Saccharomyces cerevisiae S288C: one gene and its partners. Changing the gene in region 1 together with any one later gene gives a genetic interaction. Each region holds a gene or a part of one and is shown in the gene's direction. Other genes may lie near its edges.

Evidence for each region. Genes that interact genetically often act in the same process or in processes that back each other up.
Region 2: mutations in PDC1 (region 1) and DBP1 together harm fitness more than expected from each alone (negative genetic interaction), as found in Saccharomyces cerevisiae (2 studies listed by BioGRID).
Region 3: mutations in PDC1 (region 1) and VMS1 together harm fitness more than expected from each alone (negative genetic interaction), as found in Saccharomyces cerevisiae (2 studies listed by BioGRID).

The regions. Positions count from the first base shown.
Region 1 is NC_001144.5:231,073-238,852, reverse strand, and holds PDC1 (indolepyruvate decarboxylase 1), read left to right. Parts: upstream 1-4,771; coding exon 4,772-6,463; downstream 6,464-7,780. Other genes in the region: YLR046C (uncharacterized protein), read left to right, coding at 40-852; STU2 (Stu2p), read left to right, coding at 1,150-3,816; thioredoxin TRX1, read left to right, coding at 6,840-7,151. UniProt on the Saccharomyces cerevisiae protein: Major of three pyruvate decarboxylases (PDC1, PDC5, PDC6) implicated in the nonoxidative conversion of pyruvate to acetaldehyde and carbon dioxide during alcoholic fermentation.
Region 2 is NC_001148.4:323,843-328,495, reverse strand, and holds DBP1 (putative DEAD-box ATP-dependent RNA helicase DBP1), read left to right. Parts: upstream 1-2,231; coding exon 2,232-4,085; downstream 4,086-4,653. Other genes in the region: isopentenyl-diphosphate delta-isomerase IDI1, read left to right, coding at 1-632; mitochondrial 37S ribosomal protein bS1m MRP51, read right to left, coding at 834-1,868; YPL119C-A (uncharacterized protein), read left to right, coding at 4,209-4,472. UniProt on the Saccharomyces cerevisiae protein: ATP-binding RNA helicase involved in translation initiation. Remodels RNA in response to ADP and ATP concentrations by facilitating disruption, but also formation of RNA duplexes.
Region 3 is NC_001136.10:550,757-555,720, forward strand, and holds VMS1 (Vms1p), read left to right. Parts: upstream 1-2,497; coding exon 2,498-4,396; downstream 4,397-4,964. Other genes in the region: uroporphyrinogen decarboxylase HEM12, read left to right, coding at 1,104-2,192. UniProt on the Saccharomyces cerevisiae protein: Endonuclease that cleaves polypeptidyl-tRNAs downstream of the ribosome-associated quality control (RQC) pathway to release incompletely synthesized polypeptides for degradation.

The DNA.
Region 1 (7,780 bases):
TTTGGCATTTTAATCCTTTCTGCCTTGGTGCAGATCATAATGGCAACACACACGAGCAAGAGACGTATTCATCGCTGGGAAAACAATGAGTTGTCAGAGGAAAATTCCACAATAATATACTTTCCTGCCCGCGGTTTGATGTGGACACATTTTCCTTTCGTTTTAGGGATTTGTTTAGAGTTCGTGGGTTATGTGTTGAAAATAGTCTTTATCAATAGCCCCTCGATTTCGACTTTCATTGCTCAATCGGTGCTTCTATTGATAGCACCTTCACTTTACGCCCTTAGTATTTTTATGTTGTTCAGCAAAATGGCACGTCTAATTCTTATGGAGGCATATATGTTAATTCCTGCGAAATTTAGTACAGTTTCTTTCGTAGTGGCAGATATGATTGGGCGTGTCCTACAGGCTGTAGGAGGTGGGTTGTTATCCTCATGGAACAGCAGGAATACTGGGCGTATCCTAATTATTGTGGGTCTTTTCATTCAGATATTTTGTTATACCTTTTTAACGTTCAGTCAACTTTTTCTTCACTATAAAATGAAGGCAACGCCTAGTAAAATTGTGCGGGATAGTAATGAATGGTTCCAGTACAATTTTATACTTTTAGCTGGGATATTGCTGGTTAATGGTAGAACCATTGTCAGAGTAGTACAATTTCTAATGGGCTTACAAAGCTATATAGGTCAGCACGAATGGTGCCTTTACGTTTTCGATACAGTTCTAATGTTTTTACTACCTTTGATTTTCCTAGCAACCTTTCGCGCAAGAAATTTGTTCAAGCTGCAGGATAAATCTGTCAATATTCAATTAAACAAATTATTAGACAAGGAATCTGTGTCTGAAGATTAAGTAGTCAAAAATTTATTAATTAAATAGTTGGATAATATTTGTGCTGGGCATTAGAAGTCAATCTTGTCTTTTCCTTTATATGGTGCAAAGATTATCATGGTTAACGAATCTATTTTTTTTCGTGTCGTTTTTGTTTTTGTTTTTGTTTTTGTTTTGTCTGCTTGACACTCCATAGGAAGAGTAAATGAAGAACCTACCAGACCTAGGGACCAAATAGCATTACTAAACTACAAAGAAACAGCTATCTTTACAGTGTAAAGTATTTTTGAGTTTTTATTAAAGAGTTTGAAGTTGACTATGTCAGGAGAAGAAGAAGTAGATTATACAACGTTACCCCTAGAAGAGCGATTAACGTACAAGTTATGGAAGGCACGTTTAGAAGCTTATAAGGAGTTAAACCAGCTTTTTAGAAACTCCGTTGGCGACATCAGTAGGGATGACAACATACAAATTTACTGGAGGGATCCTACATTATTTGCACAATATATAACTGATTCTAATGTGGTCGCTCAAGAACAAGCCATTGTTGCCTTGAATAGTTTAATAGATGCCTTTGCGTCATCGTCTTTGAAAAATGCACATAATATTACTTTAATATCAACATGGACACCATTGCTTGTGGAAAAGGGCTTAACGTCCTCAAGGGCTACAACGAAGACGCAGTCGATGAGCTGTATACTCTCACTATGTGGTCTTGATACATCTATTACGCAATCGGTGGAATTGGTAATACCCTTTTTCGAGAAAAAACTGCCAAAATTAATTGCTGCGGCAGCCAATTGTGTTTATGAGTTGATGGCTGCATTCGGGCTCACTAATGTGAACGTTCAAACGTTTCTACCAGAATTATTAAAGCACGTACCTCAACTAGCCGGTCATGGTGATAGAAACGTTCGATCACAAACGATGAATTTGATTGTCGAGATCTATAAGGTTACGGGCAACAATAGCGACTTGTTAGAGGAGATACTGTTTAAAAAATTAAAACCAATTCAAGTGAAAGATCTTCATAAATTGTTTGCAAAAGTTGGTGACGAGCCATCGTCATCGAAAATGTTATTCGAGTGGGAGAAAAGAGAATTGGAAAAGAAAAGAAGCCAAGAGGAGGAAGCCAGGAAAAGAAAGTCCATATTATCGAATGATGAGGGGGAATATCAGATAGATAAGGATGGAGATACATTGATGGGGATGGAAACGGATATGCCACCATCAAAACAGCAAAGTGGAGTTCAAATAGACACCTTCAGTATGCTACCGGAGGAGACGATCCTCGATAAACTGCCTAAGGACTTCCAGGAAAGGATAACGTCGTCCAAATGGAAAGATAGAGTGGAAGCGCTGGAAGAATTTTGGGATAGTGTTCTATCGCAGACTAAGAAGTTAAAAAGCACCTCGCAAAATTATTCCAACTTATTGGGGATATATGGCCATATTATCCAGAAAGATGCAAACATTCAAGCTGTTGCACTAGCCGCTCAATCAGTAGAATTAATCTGCGACAAACTAAAAACACCAGGCTTTTCCAAGGATTATGTTTCACTAGTCTTCACTCCCTTGTTAGACAGGACAAAGGAAAAGAAACCTTCTGTGATAGAGGCCATTAGGAAGGCATTATTAACCATCTGCAAGTATTACGATCCATTAGCCTCCAGTGGACGCAATGAAGATATGTTGAAAGATATTTTGGAGCATATGAAGCACAAGACACCTCAAATCAGAATGGAGTGTACGCAATTGTTTAATGCAAGCATGAAAGAAGAAAAAGATGGATACTCGACCCTGCAAAGATACTTGAAGGATGAAGTGGTACCAATTGTGATTCAGATCGTCAACGACACCCAACCTGCTATAAGAACTATTGGATTTGAGAGTTTCGCCATTCTAATTAAAATATTTGGCATGAATACCTTTGTGAAAACATTAGAGCACTTGGATAATTTGAAAAGGAAAAAAATTGAAGAAACGGTCAAAACTCTACCTAATTTCAGTATTGCAAGTGGTAGTACCCATAGCACTATTGAAACGAATAAACAAACTGGGCCAATGGAGAATAAATTTCTCCTGAAAAAAAGTTCTGTACTTCCCTCCAAGAGAGTGGCATCTTCACCGCTGAGAAATGATAACAAAAGTAAAGTGAACCCAATAGGGTCAGTAGCCTCCGCATCAAAACCATCAATGGTAGCTGCTAACAATAAATCGAGGGTCCTGTTGACGTCTAAGTCTTTGGCAACGCCAAAAAACGTAGTAGCTAATAGCACTGACAAGAATGAAAAGTTGATTGAAGAATACAAGTACAGACTGCAAAAACTACAAAATGATGAGATGATATGGACCAAAGAAAGACAAAGCCTATTGGAAAAGATGAATAATACAGAAAATTATAAGATCGAAATGATTAAAGAAAACGAAATGCTAAGAGAGCAACTAAAGGAAGCGCAGTCTAAATTGAACGAAAAGAACATTCAATTAAGATCCAAGGAGATTGATGTCAATAAGCTGTCTGATAGAGTACTGTCACTAGAAAACGAGCTTAGAAACATGGAGATCGAATTGGATAGAAATAAGAAAAGAAATGATACAAACTTGCAATCGATGGGTACGATTTCATCATACTCCATACCTTCTTCCACCGTGTCAAGCAACTATGGGGTAAAATCTTTATCTTCCGCTTTGCCATTTAAGGAGGAGGAAGATGTCAGAAGGAAAGAGGACGTCAACTATGAAAGAAGATCAAGCGAGTCCATCGGCGACCTGCCGCACCGCGTAAACTCTCTTAACATACGGCCGTACAGAAAAAACGGCACTGGAGTGAGCAGTGTCTCCGACGATTTGGATATCGATTTCAACGATAGTTTTGCCTCAGAAGAAAGTTATAAACGTGCCGCTGCAGTGACATCTACCCTAAAGGCCAGAATTGAAAAAATGAAGGCCAAATCAAGGCGGGAAGGGACAACCAGGACGTAAAGGGTAGCCTCCCCATAACATAAACTCAATAAAATATATAGTCTTCAACTTGAAAAAGGAACAAGCTCATGCAAAGAGGTGGTACCCGCACGCCGAAATGCATGCAAGTAACCTATTCAAAGTAATATCTCATACATGTTTCATGAGGGTAACAACATGCGACTGGGTGAGCATATGTTCCGCTGATGTGATGTGCAAGATAAACAAGCAAGGCAGAAACTAACTTCTTCTTCATGTAATAAACACACCCCGCGTTTATTTACCTATCTCTAAACTTCAACACCTTATATCATAACTAATATTTCTTGAGATAAGCACACTGCACCCATACCTTCCTTAAAAACGTAGCTTCCAGTTTTTGGTGGTTCCGGCTTCCTTCCCGATTCCGCCCGCTAAACGCATATTTTTGTTGCCTGGTGGCATTTGCAAAATGCATAACCTATGCATTTAAAAGATTATGTATGCTCTTCTGACTTTTCGTGTGATGAGGCTCGTGGAAAAAATGAATAATTTATGAATTTGAGAACAATTTTGTGTTGTTACGGTATTTTACTATGGAATAATCAATCAATTGAGGATTTTATGCAAATATCGTTTGAATATTTTTCCGACCCTTTGAGTACTTTTCTTCATAATTGCATAATATTGTCCGCTGCCCCTTTTTCTGTTAGACGGTGTCTTGATCTACTTGCTATCGTTCAACACCACCTTATTTTCTAACTATTTTTTTTTTAGCTCATTTGAATCAGCTTATGGTGATGGCACATTTTTGCATAAACCTAGCTGTCCTCGTTGAACATAGGAAAAAAAAATATATAAACAAGGCTCTTTCACTCTCCTTGCAATCAGATTTGGGTTTGTTCCCTTTATTTTCATATTTCTTGTCATATTCCTTTCTCAATTATTATTTTCTACTCATAACCTCACGCAAAATAACACAGTCAAATCAATCAAAATGTCTGAAATTACTTTGGGTAAATATTTGTTCGAAAGATTAAAGCAAGTCAACGTTAACACCGTTTTCGGTTTGCCAGGTGACTTCAACTTGTCCTTGTTGGACAAGATCTACGAAGTTGAAGGTATGAGATGGGCTGGTAACGCCAACGAATTGAACGCTGCTTACGCCGCTGATGGTTACGCTCGTATCAAGGGTATGTCTTGTATCATCACCACCTTCGGTGTCGGTGAATTGTCTGCTTTGAACGGTATTGCCGGTTCTTACGCTGAACACGTCGGTGTTTTGCACGTTGTTGGTGTCCCATCCATCTCTGCTCAAGCTAAGCAATTGTTGTTGCACCACACCTTGGGTAACGGTGACTTCACTGTTTTCCACAGAATGTCTGCCAACATTTCTGAAACCACTGCTATGATCACTGACATTGCTACCGCCCCAGCTGAAATTGACAGATGTATCAGAACCACTTACGTCACCCAAAGACCAGTCTACTTAGGTTTGCCAGCTAACTTGGTCGACTTGAACGTCCCAGCTAAGTTGTTGCAAACTCCAATTGACATGTCTTTGAAGCCAAACGATGCTGAATCCGAAAAGGAAGTCATTGACACCATCTTGGCTTTGGTCAAGGATGCTAAGAACCCAGTTATCTTGGCTGATGCTTGTTGTTCCAGACACGACGTCAAGGCTGAAACTAAGAAGTTGATTGACTTGACTCAATTCCCAGCTTTCGTCACCCCAATGGGTAAGGGTTCCATTGACGAACAACACCCAAGATACGGTGGTGTTTACGTCGGTACCTTGTCCAAGCCAGAAGTTAAGGAAGCCGTTGAATCTGCTGACTTGATTTTGTCTGTCGGTGCTTTGTTGTCTGATTTCAACACCGGTTCTTTCTCTTACTCTTACAAGACCAAGAACATTGTCGAATTCCACTCCGACCACATGAAGATCAGAAACGCCACTTTCCCAGGTGTCCAAATGAAATTCGTTTTGCAAAAGTTGTTGACCACTATTGCTGACGCCGCTAAGGGTTACAAGCCAGTTGCTGTCCCAGCTAGAACTCCAGCTAACGCTGCTGTCCCAGCTTCTACCCCATTGAAGCAAGAATGGATGTGGAACCAATTGGGTAACTTCTTGCAAGAAGGTGATGTTGTCATTGCTGAAACCGGTACCTCCGCTTTCGGTATCAACCAAACCACTTTCCCAAACAACACCTACGGTATCTCTCAAGTCTTATGGGGTTCCATTGGTTTCACCACTGGTGCTACCTTGGGTGCTGCTTTCGCTGCTGAAGAAATTGATCCAAAGAAGAGAGTTATCTTATTCATTGGTGACGGTTCTTTGCAATTGACTGTTCAAGAAATCTCCACCATGATCAGATGGGGCTTGAAGCCATACTTGTTCGTCTTGAACAACGATGGTTACACCATTGAAAAGTTGATTCACGGTCCAAAGGCTCAATACAACGAAATTCAAGGTTGGGACCACCTATCCTTGTTGCCAACTTTCGGTGCTAAGGACTATGAAACCCACAGAGTCGCTACCACCGGTGAATGGGACAAGTTGACCCAAGACAAGTCTTTCAACGACAACTCTAAGATCAGAATGATTGAAATCATGTTGCCAGTCTTCGATGCTCCACAAAACTTGGTTGAACAAGCTAAGTTGACTGCTGCTACCAACGCTAAGCAATAAGCGATTTAATCTCTAATTATTAGTTAAAGTTTTATAAGCATTTTTATGTAACGAAAAATAAATTGGTTCATATTATTACTGCACTGTCACTTACCATGGAAAGACCAGACAAGAAGTTGCCGACAGTCTGTTGAATTGGCCTGGTTAGGCTTAAGTCTGGGTCCGCTTCTTTACAAATTTGGAGAATTTCTCTTAAACGATATGTATATTCTTTTCGTTGGAAAAGATGTCTTCCAAAAAAAAAACCGATGAATTAGTGGAACCAAGGAAAAAAAAAGAGGTATCCTTGATTAAGGAACACTGTTTAAACAGTGTGGTTTCCAAAACCCTGAAACTGCATTAGTGTAATAGAAGACTAGACACCTCGATACAAATAATGGTTACTCAATTCAAAACTGCCAGCGAATTCGACTCTGCAATTGCTCAAGACAAGCTAGTTGTCGTAGATTTCTACGCCACTTGGTGCGGTCCATGTAAAATGATTGCTCCAATGATTGAAAAATTCTCTGAACAATACCCACAAGCTGATTTCTATAAATTGGATGTCGATGAATTGGGTGATGTTGCACAAAAGAATGAAGTTTCCGCTATGCCAACTTTGCTTCTATTCAAGAACGGTAAGGAAGTTGCAAAGGTTGTTGGTGCCAACCCAGCGGCTATTAAGCAAGCCATTGCTGCTAATGCTTAAACTCACCCAATGACCGATATATTGTGTTTCTATACTGTGTTTGTTATATATAGTTTACCTTTTTTAGACAAAAAAACAGAATTATATATTATCCTTATGTTTTGTTATTTACTCGGAAGCACACAATTGCCCACCACACAAAGGAGGTGGAGGAAACAATTAATTTTTCACACAAGAGGTATATATTTGGAGAAAAATGAAGAATGAGATACTTTTCTTCCGATTACTTAAGTATTACGGCTCTGAAATTTTCTCGAGCATTAGATGATTAAATCAAAATGACATAGTATTTCGCAACCTTTCAGTTGGGCTTTGTTTAAGAAGTGGAATACTTTTGCTTGAGTTGTTTAGTTTTATTTTATCCACTGTTGTCTTAACAAATATTTTCAAGACCGGTAAGCCGAAGATGAAAAATCATTATTAACTCATTTTTTGAACAAAAATATAAACAAAAGAAAGGCAACGCACAATTTTAGAGATACATAAAACGCAGTGGATGTTAAAAATAACAGCGGTACAGAAACGCCTGTCTCGCTCCAATAATAATTATACAAATTTGAAACCGAACGCAATGTGCCAAGAAATGTAAACACACTATAGAAAAAAATAGAACGGTGCACATTGTGCTA
Region 2 (4,653 bases), on another chromosome or scaffold:
GGGACGATAATGCTATTGGTGCCGGTACCAAGAAAGTTTGTCATTTAATGGAAAATATTGAAAAGGGTTTACTACATCGTGCATTCTCCGTCTTTATTTTCAATGAACAAGGTGAATTACTTTTACAACAAAGAGCCACTGAAAAAATAACTTTCCCTGATCTTTGGACTAACACATGCTGCTCTCATCCACTATGTATTGATGACGAATTAGGTTTGAAGGGTAAGCTAGACGATAAGATTAAGGGCGCTATTACTGCGGCGGTGAGAAAACTAGATCATGAATTAGGTATTCCAGAAGATGAAACTAAGACAAGGGGTAAGTTTCACTTTTTAAACAGAATCCATTACATGGCACCAAGCAATGAACCATGGGGTGAACATGAAATTGATTACATCCTATTTTATAAGATCAACGCTAAAGAAAACTTGACTGTCAACCCAAACGTCAATGAAGTTAGAGACTTCAAATGGGTTTCACCAAATGATTTGAAAACTATGTTTGCTGACCCAAGTTACAAGTTTACGCCTTGGTTTAAGATTATTTGCGAGAATTACTTATTCAACTGGTGGGAGCAATTAGATGACCTTTCTGAAGTGGAAAATGACAGGCAAATTCATAGAATGCTATAACAACGCGTCAATAATATAGGCTACATAAAAATCATAATAACTTTGTTATCATAGCAAAATGTGATATAAAACGTTTCATTTCACCTGAAAAATAGTAAAAATAGGCGACAAAAATCCTTAGTAATATGTAAACTTTATTTTCTTTATTTATTTACAGAACTCTGAATATACATTGATTGTTCACATTTTTTTTTTCTCTTCTCAATTTCCCTTGATTATATTCAAAAGGTTATTGGCCTCTTGAATGTTTCCCACTGATGGTCGACGTGCCCTTCTAGAGGTCAATGGTTTATAAATTGGTCTCTTATTGAAAAATTCTCTGGTCTTGTCATTTTGTGGTTCGAGTAATCTAGCGTGCATCGAAACAGAACCATTTTTCTCCATAGATGCCTCCAAGATCTCGAACAAGAACGTTTTCATTCTGATGAAATCTCCCATGGAGTTAAAGGAACTAGGTGGTGATTGGAAAAATACCACATCGGCCACAAACCCACCAATAGCTGCCAGCCATTTATTGTCGTTGTTCTCCTTAACAACGTTCAAGATTCTACCGGGTACTACAGTCCTTTGAATGACACCATTTGGTGAGTTTTTTAGCTTTCCTGGCAAGCTGTATGATAATCCACCTGTACCAATGATTTCAGTGTTAAATTTTTTATTCGTTTTTGTTTCCAACTTTTTGTTTAGAAACTTCACTACATAGTCTTCCAGCTTATTAGAATTCAATTTCAATTCATCCGGATGATTTTCCACCAGCCACTCTTTAAATTCATCTTGAAACGATCTAATTAGTGCTGTTATCTTCTTCAAACGCTTCTTCATAGCAGCAGGCGAAATATCTGTATCTCCTTTCATTTCTTTGAATAAGGACAATTTAGCATGAGACTCATCCTCAGGACGAGATATGTACTTGAAAAATGGATTTTGTCTGCCTATATTAGACACAATTGGTACTCCCATTTCTTGAAATCTTAGCCTATTCCATTGCGTACCGCCTCTAGGTTCGAATGTGGTAATTCTTTCCAACGTATCCAAATCGTTGTACACCAAATATCGAGATTTAATTTTCGAAGGAATAGCGGATTTCAACCCCCATTCTTGTCTGTATAGTGTCGATGGCTTAGTTTCGATGATTTGATGTGTTGGATGAAATTTTTTGCCAGTGTATGTCAATGGTTTATGATTGTTAGCTACTTGAGCTATTCTCGACCGTCCAAGCAACTCTGCCAATGTCATTTCGTTCAATTTTTTCTAAAATAAAGAAAAAGAAAAAGAAAAATGATCGAAACAGTCTCACCAAGGGTTGTAGCAAATGTCTGTATGATTTTTTTTCTTCATCACGGCACCTATTCGTATTGCTCCTTTAACTCTACATCTAAGTTCTTCATTCTTTGATTTCTCAAAACAAATATCACTGTCAACGTAAATATTACCCCGCGAGTTCTTTAACAATTTTAAGGGAAGGTTACTTAAGGTCATCTCTGAAGTAATGCCTTTATTTTATAACAAGGATTATTCATGATTATAAAAGATATCGGTAGTGTCAGTTAAAGGATATTTTAAGAAAAACCCCTTTGAGTGAAAGTATTACAAGAAAAAATGGCAGACTTGCCACAGAAGGTATCTAATTTAAGCATCAACAACAAAGAGAATGGTGGTGGTGGCGGCAAATCATCTTATGTCCCACCGCACTTGAGAAGTAGAGGAAAACCATCATTCGAAAGAAGTACCCCAAAACAGGAAGATAAGGTTACGGGTGGTGATTTTTTCAGACGTGCTGGAAGGCAAACTGGGAACAATGGCGGGTTTTTTGGCTTTTCTAAGGAAAGAAATGGAGGGACGAGTGCGAACTATAACCGCGGAGGCAGCTCAAATTACAAATCATCTGGAAATAGATGGGTAAATGGCAAGCATATACCGGGGCCTAAGAACGCGAAATTAGAAGCCGAACTGTTTGGTGTACACGACGATCCCGATTACCATTCATCTGGTATAAAGTTTGATAATTACGATAATATTCCCGTAGATGCATCTGGAAAAGATGTTCCTGAACCTATACTAGATTTTAGTTCTCCCCCTCTGGATGAGCTGTTAATGGAAAATATCAAACTTGCTAGTTTCACCAAACCTACTCCAGTACAAAAATATTCTATTCCAATAGTTACCAAAGGTAGGGATTTGATGGCATGCGCACAAACGGGCTCAGGTAAGACAGGTGGGTTTTTGTTTCCGCTCTTCACGGAGCTATTCAGGTCTGGGCCCTCTCCAGTACCCGAGAAAGCACAGAGCTTTTATTCTAGAAAGGGATATCCATCTGCTTTAGTACTTGCACCAACTAGAGAATTGGCTACCCAAATTTTTGAAGAAGCAAGAAAATTTACGTATAGATCTTGGGTTAGGCCATGCGTTGTTTATGGTGGCGCGCCAATCGGTAACCAGATGAGGGAGGTTGACCGCGGCTGTGACTTATTGGTGGCTACACCAGGGCGGCTGAATGACTTATTAGAACGCGGAAAAGTTTCTTTGGCTAATATCAAATACCTGGTATTGGATGAGGCTGATAGAATGCTAGATATGGGATTCGAACCCCAAATTCGCCATATAGTTGAAGAATGTGATATGCCCTCTGTGGAAAATAGACAGACCTTGATGTTTTCCGCCACATTCCCAGTAGATATCCAGCATTTGGCACGCGATTTCTTAGATAATTATATTTTTTTATCAGTAGGAAGAGTCGGTTCCACCTCAGAAAATATCACGCAAAGAATATTATATGTCGATGACATGGACAAAAAGTCTGCGTTGTTAGATTTACTGTCTGCAGAGCATAAGGGATTGACATTGATTTTTGTTGAAACGAAAAGAATGGCGGATCAACTCACAGATTTTTTGATCATGCAAAATTTCAAAGCTACAGCCATACATGGTGACCGCACACAGGCTGAACGTGAACGTGCCTTATCTGCTTTCAAAGCTAACGTAGCTGATATCCTGGTCGCAACAGCTGTAGCAGCGAGAGGTTTGGATATACCGAATGTCACACATGTCATTAATTATGATTTGCCCTCCGACATCGATGACTACGTTCACAGAATTGGTAGAACAGGCCGTGCTGGTAACACAGGCGTGGCTACTTCATTCTTCAATAGTAATAATCAGAATATTGTGAAGGGTTTGATGGAAATTTTAAATGAAGCGAATCAAGAAGTTCCCACGTTTTTAAGTGACCTGTCAAGACAGAATTCAAGAGGTGGAAGAACTAGGGGAGGAGGAGGTTTTTTCAATAGTCGTAATAACGGTTCAAGAGACTACCGTAAACATGGTGGAAATGGCTCATTTGGGAGCACGAGGCCAAGGAATACTGGAACATCAAATTGGGGTTCGATTGGAGGTGGGTTTAGAAATGATAATGAGAAAAACGGTTACGGAAATAGCAACGCTTCATGGTGGTAAGCAGAAAGAATAAAAGACTAATCCAAATATAGAACTCCTTTAATTTTTTTCTTTTTATTAATCTCCCTTTTTCCTTTCTTTATCTCTTCGTTTTCACTCCAGTACTATACAGTCATACGTTTTATGCATCCATTAGTCGATGAATTGACTCTTTCACGCTACTTGACCCACGGTACTTCAGTTTTATCAAGTTCCCTTTATTCTGTTGCTTTCTTTCTCTTTTTTTTTCCCAATTTCCTTTTTTTTTGCTCTTGTCCCAATCATAAATGGGTGAGTTTACCGTTTATTGGAATGGATATTTTGGAAGCCCTTTGTTTTTATAGAGAGGGAAAAATACGGAATATTTTTGAAATAGGTGGTCTATTACTTCAGAGTTTTTATAATTAAATCTTGAATTTTGCAATTTGGAAGCAAAATATTCATTGCCGGAGAAGGAGTTATTATTATACGTGTAAAAAATAACTCAATGTTATATTAGGTCTATAATTGTTGATATCTGGCATATCATCTGATGAAAGACCAAGGAAATGTATGAAAGCATTTAAAGTTGCACGCATAAAAAAAGTGG
Region 3 (4,964 bases), on another chromosome or scaffold:
TAGCGAAAAAGACAAGATCAACAGAGGCGCCAGAAAAAGGCAATTATGACTAAAAAAAAAACTGTGTAAACCTGGGGATGGTAGCTGAACTACTTGCAGTCGAAAATGACCGCATATTTTACTGTCATGCTTCTGTCAAGAAAAACGAGCCTTGGATGAGAGCTTTCGTTGATCGCGGCTCGAAGTTCAGGTAGAGAAATATAGCAGAGCTCTTTTCGCGGAGCCGCATGCACGGCTACATTAAAAGGTGTCCTTCCAGCTCAGCGATATGTGTCGGCCGGAAAAAAAAAGCACGCATCCGGCAAGCACACTAGTAAGTCTAATGCAGGATGAAGAAACGAAGAAGGTGCCATGAGAAGGAAAATAAAACTCAATGGGACGGAACGGCAGCATTTTTTAACAAATTATTTTGGATTCATCCGTAACAATATAACTTGGTACGGGAACGGCATGTTTTAAATGCACAGCGGTGCCTTGTTTCGCCGTGGATTGTTAAAGGCTCTTTTTCGGACGCCACATATTCCTATGCTGCACCAGCAATTGGTGTCTTCGGATCATACTACTTCGCACTAGTTTATATTCAAGGCTTTTAATGGAGCTTCGCTCTTAAAAGAAAAAACTTCTTTACTTCCATGCGCGCGTTTTTGGCGTACGTAGCACTGCGAAAGAGTGGGTGATATATAGAGAACATGTTGTAGTATACGTACGCGGGCAATTGTGGTGACAGTATCTCTTTCTGTTAGCAAGTAATATATCCTTGGCCTCAACCTGTCAATAGTGTTAGTTTATCCGCCATCTTGGCGCTATCATACACGATCTTTTTCAATGTTTCTCGTATATACAGGACAGGGTTCGGGGTTTTTGGCGGCAGGAGAGGAAAGCAAAAAAAAATGAGGCAAGAGTTTTAATTTTGCCAGCGAAATGTTCTGCCATTTTCATCTTTACCGCTCGAATTAGTGATGTTCCAGACGAAGGTAACATAGAGTGATCGATAGGTTCTTCAATTCATCAAGCATTATCTCAGAATTGTGTTTGGTAAGCTCTCTTCGAGAAAAGGAAGAACAAAAAAAAAAAAAATAAAGCAAAGAACAGGTTATAACGCTATGGGTAACTTTCCAGCTCCAAAAAACGATTTGATATTGAGAGCCGCAAAGGGTGAAAAAGTCGAGAGACCGCCATGCTGGATAATGCGCCAGGCAGGTCGTTACCTGCCGGAATATCACGAGGTGAAAAACAATCGTGATTTCTTTCAAACTTGCAGGGATGCGGAAATTGCTTCTGAGATTACTATCCAGCCGGTAAGACGCTATAGAGGCCTCATTGATGCTGCTATTATTTTTAGTGATATCTTAGTTATTCCGCAAGCCATGGGTATGAGGGTCGAGATGCTCGAAGGTAAAGGTCCACATTTCCCAGAACCTTTAAGAAATCCGGAAGACCTCCAAACGGTATTAGACTACAAGGTTGATGTTTTGAAAGAGTTAGATTGGGCTTTCAAGGCAATCACCATGACAAGGATCAAGTTGGATGGTGAGGTTCCCTTATTTGGCTTTTGCGGGGGACCTTGGACTCTAATGGTTTATATGACGGAAGGCGGTGGATCCCGTCTTTTCAGATTTGCCAAACAATGGATTAACATGTATCCAGAGCTTTCTCACAAATTATTACAAAAAATCACTGATGTGGCCGTGGAGTTTCTGAGTCAGCAAGTCGTGGCGGGTGCTCAAATACTACAAGTTTTTGAAAGTTGGGGTGGTGAGCTTTCGTCTGTAGATTTTGATGAGTTTTCCCTACCATATTTAAGACAAATTGCCGAAAGAGTGCCTAAAAGATTGCAAGAATTAGGTATCATGGAACAGATTCCTATGATCGTTTTTGCGAAAGGGTCGTGGTATGCTTTGGACAAGCTATGCTGTTCAGGATTTGACGTTGTTTCGTTGGACTGGTCCTGGGACCCAAGAGAAGCGGTAAAAATAAACAAGAACCGTGTCACCTTGCAGGGCAACCTGGATCCTGGCGTCATGTATGGTTCTAAAGAGGTAATAACAAAGAAAGTTAAACAGATGATTGAGGCTTTTGGAGGTGGGAAGTCCCGCTACATTGTTAATTTCGGTCACGGTACCCACCCTTTCATGGATCCAGACGTCATCAAGTTTTTCTTGGAGGAGTGCCACAGAATTGGTTCGAAGTAATGTGGAAATATTGATTCTTATAGTGTTATAAGTGATAATATACGTTTATGTAAATAATATCTTTTTCACAACGTTCAAAAGTGGCCTTTTTTCTTTTTTCGATATTCTGTATATTTATTACGATTTTTTTTTTTTTCAGATATTTATTTTTGCAGGTTCTCTGAATGGATGTAGTGACAAAATCTTAAATAGAAGAAAATAAAAGATGAAGGTATATGAAAATAAATGAGAATGCATATCACCTTTCCTTCGAAGAAAAAGGATTTTCAAAAGATCTGCACGCCTGTTGACAAGCTTCCAATAGCATGAATTCACAAAAGGCGAGTAAAATGACTGGCTCACTAAAAAAGAATGATCTTTATATTTTTGATTTGTCTGAGCAACTTCTGAATTCATTGAAATTGATGAGCTTTGACTCCACACTGCGAGAAGTTGAAGTAGAGAAGACATCTGATAATGATAGAAACAAGGAGTCTGGAGATCTCCAAATAGCAAGAAAGAAGGTCACATCAAATGTTATGCGTTGTAGTGTTTGTCAAATGAGCTTTGATTCCAGAAATGAACAAAAGGCCCACTACCAGACTGATTATCATTTGATGAATGTTAAGCGTAACCTTAGGGGGCTGGATATCCTATCCGTTGAGGAATTCGATGCGCTGATTTCTAAGGAGCATGGTATCAAGTCTGAAGACGAAAATTCTGGCGGCGAGCAAACTTCAAGCGATCACGAAGAAAGTGAGGAAGCCAGCGATCGGGACCCGGACCTACAAACTAATAATTATATGGAAACTATAATCGAAAATGATTTGCAGAAATTAGGGTTCCAAAAAGACGAGTCGGATGCTATTAGCCATATTAATACCCAATCGCCCTACATTTATTTCAAATCGAAGTATCTTCAAAAGAATGAGGTCTTGGCGATTTATAAGTCTCTATTTAATAAAAGGAGTCTTTCCAACCCCAATGAAGCTTTGACTTTTTGGAATTCGCAAGAGAACCCAATGGCCATTTCAGCTCTGTTTATGGTGGGAGGTGGACATTTTGCGGGAGCAATTGTTTCTCATCAAAGACTCAATGTCAAGGGGAACGCGCACAAGAAGGACGAAACCTTAATTGAGCAAGCGGTCAATTTCTTAGAGCACAAGACGTTTCACAGGTATACTACCAGAAGGAAGCAAGGTGGTTCTCAGTCAGCAATGGACAATGCAAAGGGAAAAGCTAACTCTGCCGGTTCAGCACTTCGTAGGTACAATGAAAGCGCTTTAAAAACAGATATACAGGGTGTGTTGAAGGACTGGGAACCTTATCTGTCAAAGTGTGATAATATTTTTATTCGAGCTCGCAATGTCAGTGATAAAAAAATTTTTACTGATAATACCGTTCTGAACAAGGGTGATGAAAGGATAAAGAGCTTCCCTTTTACCACGAACAGGCCCACTGTATTAGAATTGAAGAAGGCATGGTGCGAACTTTCCTACCTGAAAATATTACCTAAGCCTGAACCATTGGCAGTGAAAGAAACAGTACAAAAGTTAGAAGTGTCGAACAAAAAGGACGAATTTAAAGAAAAACAAGAACCGTTACTGGAAGAAATCCAAACAGAAGAAATAATTTCTCTGCTGAAGAAAGGAAGGGCACCGTTATTGATATCCTTCTTAAAAAAGAATAAGCTTGATGGAAACTTTCGGTTAAAGCCTGAGAGTAAATATTCCTTAACCCCTACCATGTTACATTATGCATCGCAGCAAGGGATGAAACAGATGGCACTGATTTTGCTCTCAAATATTAAATGCGATCCAACGATCAAGAACAGACTAGGAAGGACTGCGTGGGATTTGAATAGAAACGACGACGTGAGACACGCGTTTCAAATTGCAAGATACAATCTTGGAGAGTCTTTCACTAATTGGGACGAAACTCATATCGGTCAGCCATTGAGCAGAGAACAAGTTGATGAAATCAATGAAAAGAAAAAAGCAATAGAGAATGAAAAGGCAGAAAAACTGATTAAATTGGAATTAGAAGCCGCCAAGGAAAAACAAAGATTTGCTAAAGATGCAGAGAGGGGTCCAGGCAAAAAGTTAACCAATATTCCTTCAATTCAGCAACAAAATTTGAATTCTTTGACCGATGAACAGAGACGCAGATTGATGAGAGAACAAAGGGCTAGAGCCGCAGAAGAAAGGATGAAAAAGAAATACTGAGGAATATCTCATATTCAAATTTTTAGGATTTTTCTTAGCATTTGCATATATTTTCATAGACACAGTACTTACATTTAATAACAGTAATTGAAAAGCAATATTAAAATATAGAAGCCCAAATTTTATATTTCAAATGAATAAATGTTGTTTTTTTTGGCAATTTTTTGCTCTTCTATATAACAGTTGAAATTTGGATAAGAACATCTTCTCAACGCGAAAATGACGCCTCCAGTGAAAAAACATAAACTTTCAATGCAGTCTTCGGTACACTTATGAGTAACCCATATAGAGATCGTACACATTTTACAAGGATTTAGAGACAAAGTAATATTCTTCGTTGATATAGAGGTGTTCAATTGTTAAATGCTTTTCTTCTTTTTATTAGAAAAAGCGCCTTGCTTTTTGTTGTATCACTTGTAAATCTACCGTCCCTTACAAGAACATTCACGAAATTTAAGTGGCTCAGAATGAAAAAGAAACAATATAAAAAAGCTTTCCGTAGTCATCAATTTATTTTACATAACACTAGATATAAAGAAAAGAAGATAATATTTTTATATAATTATAT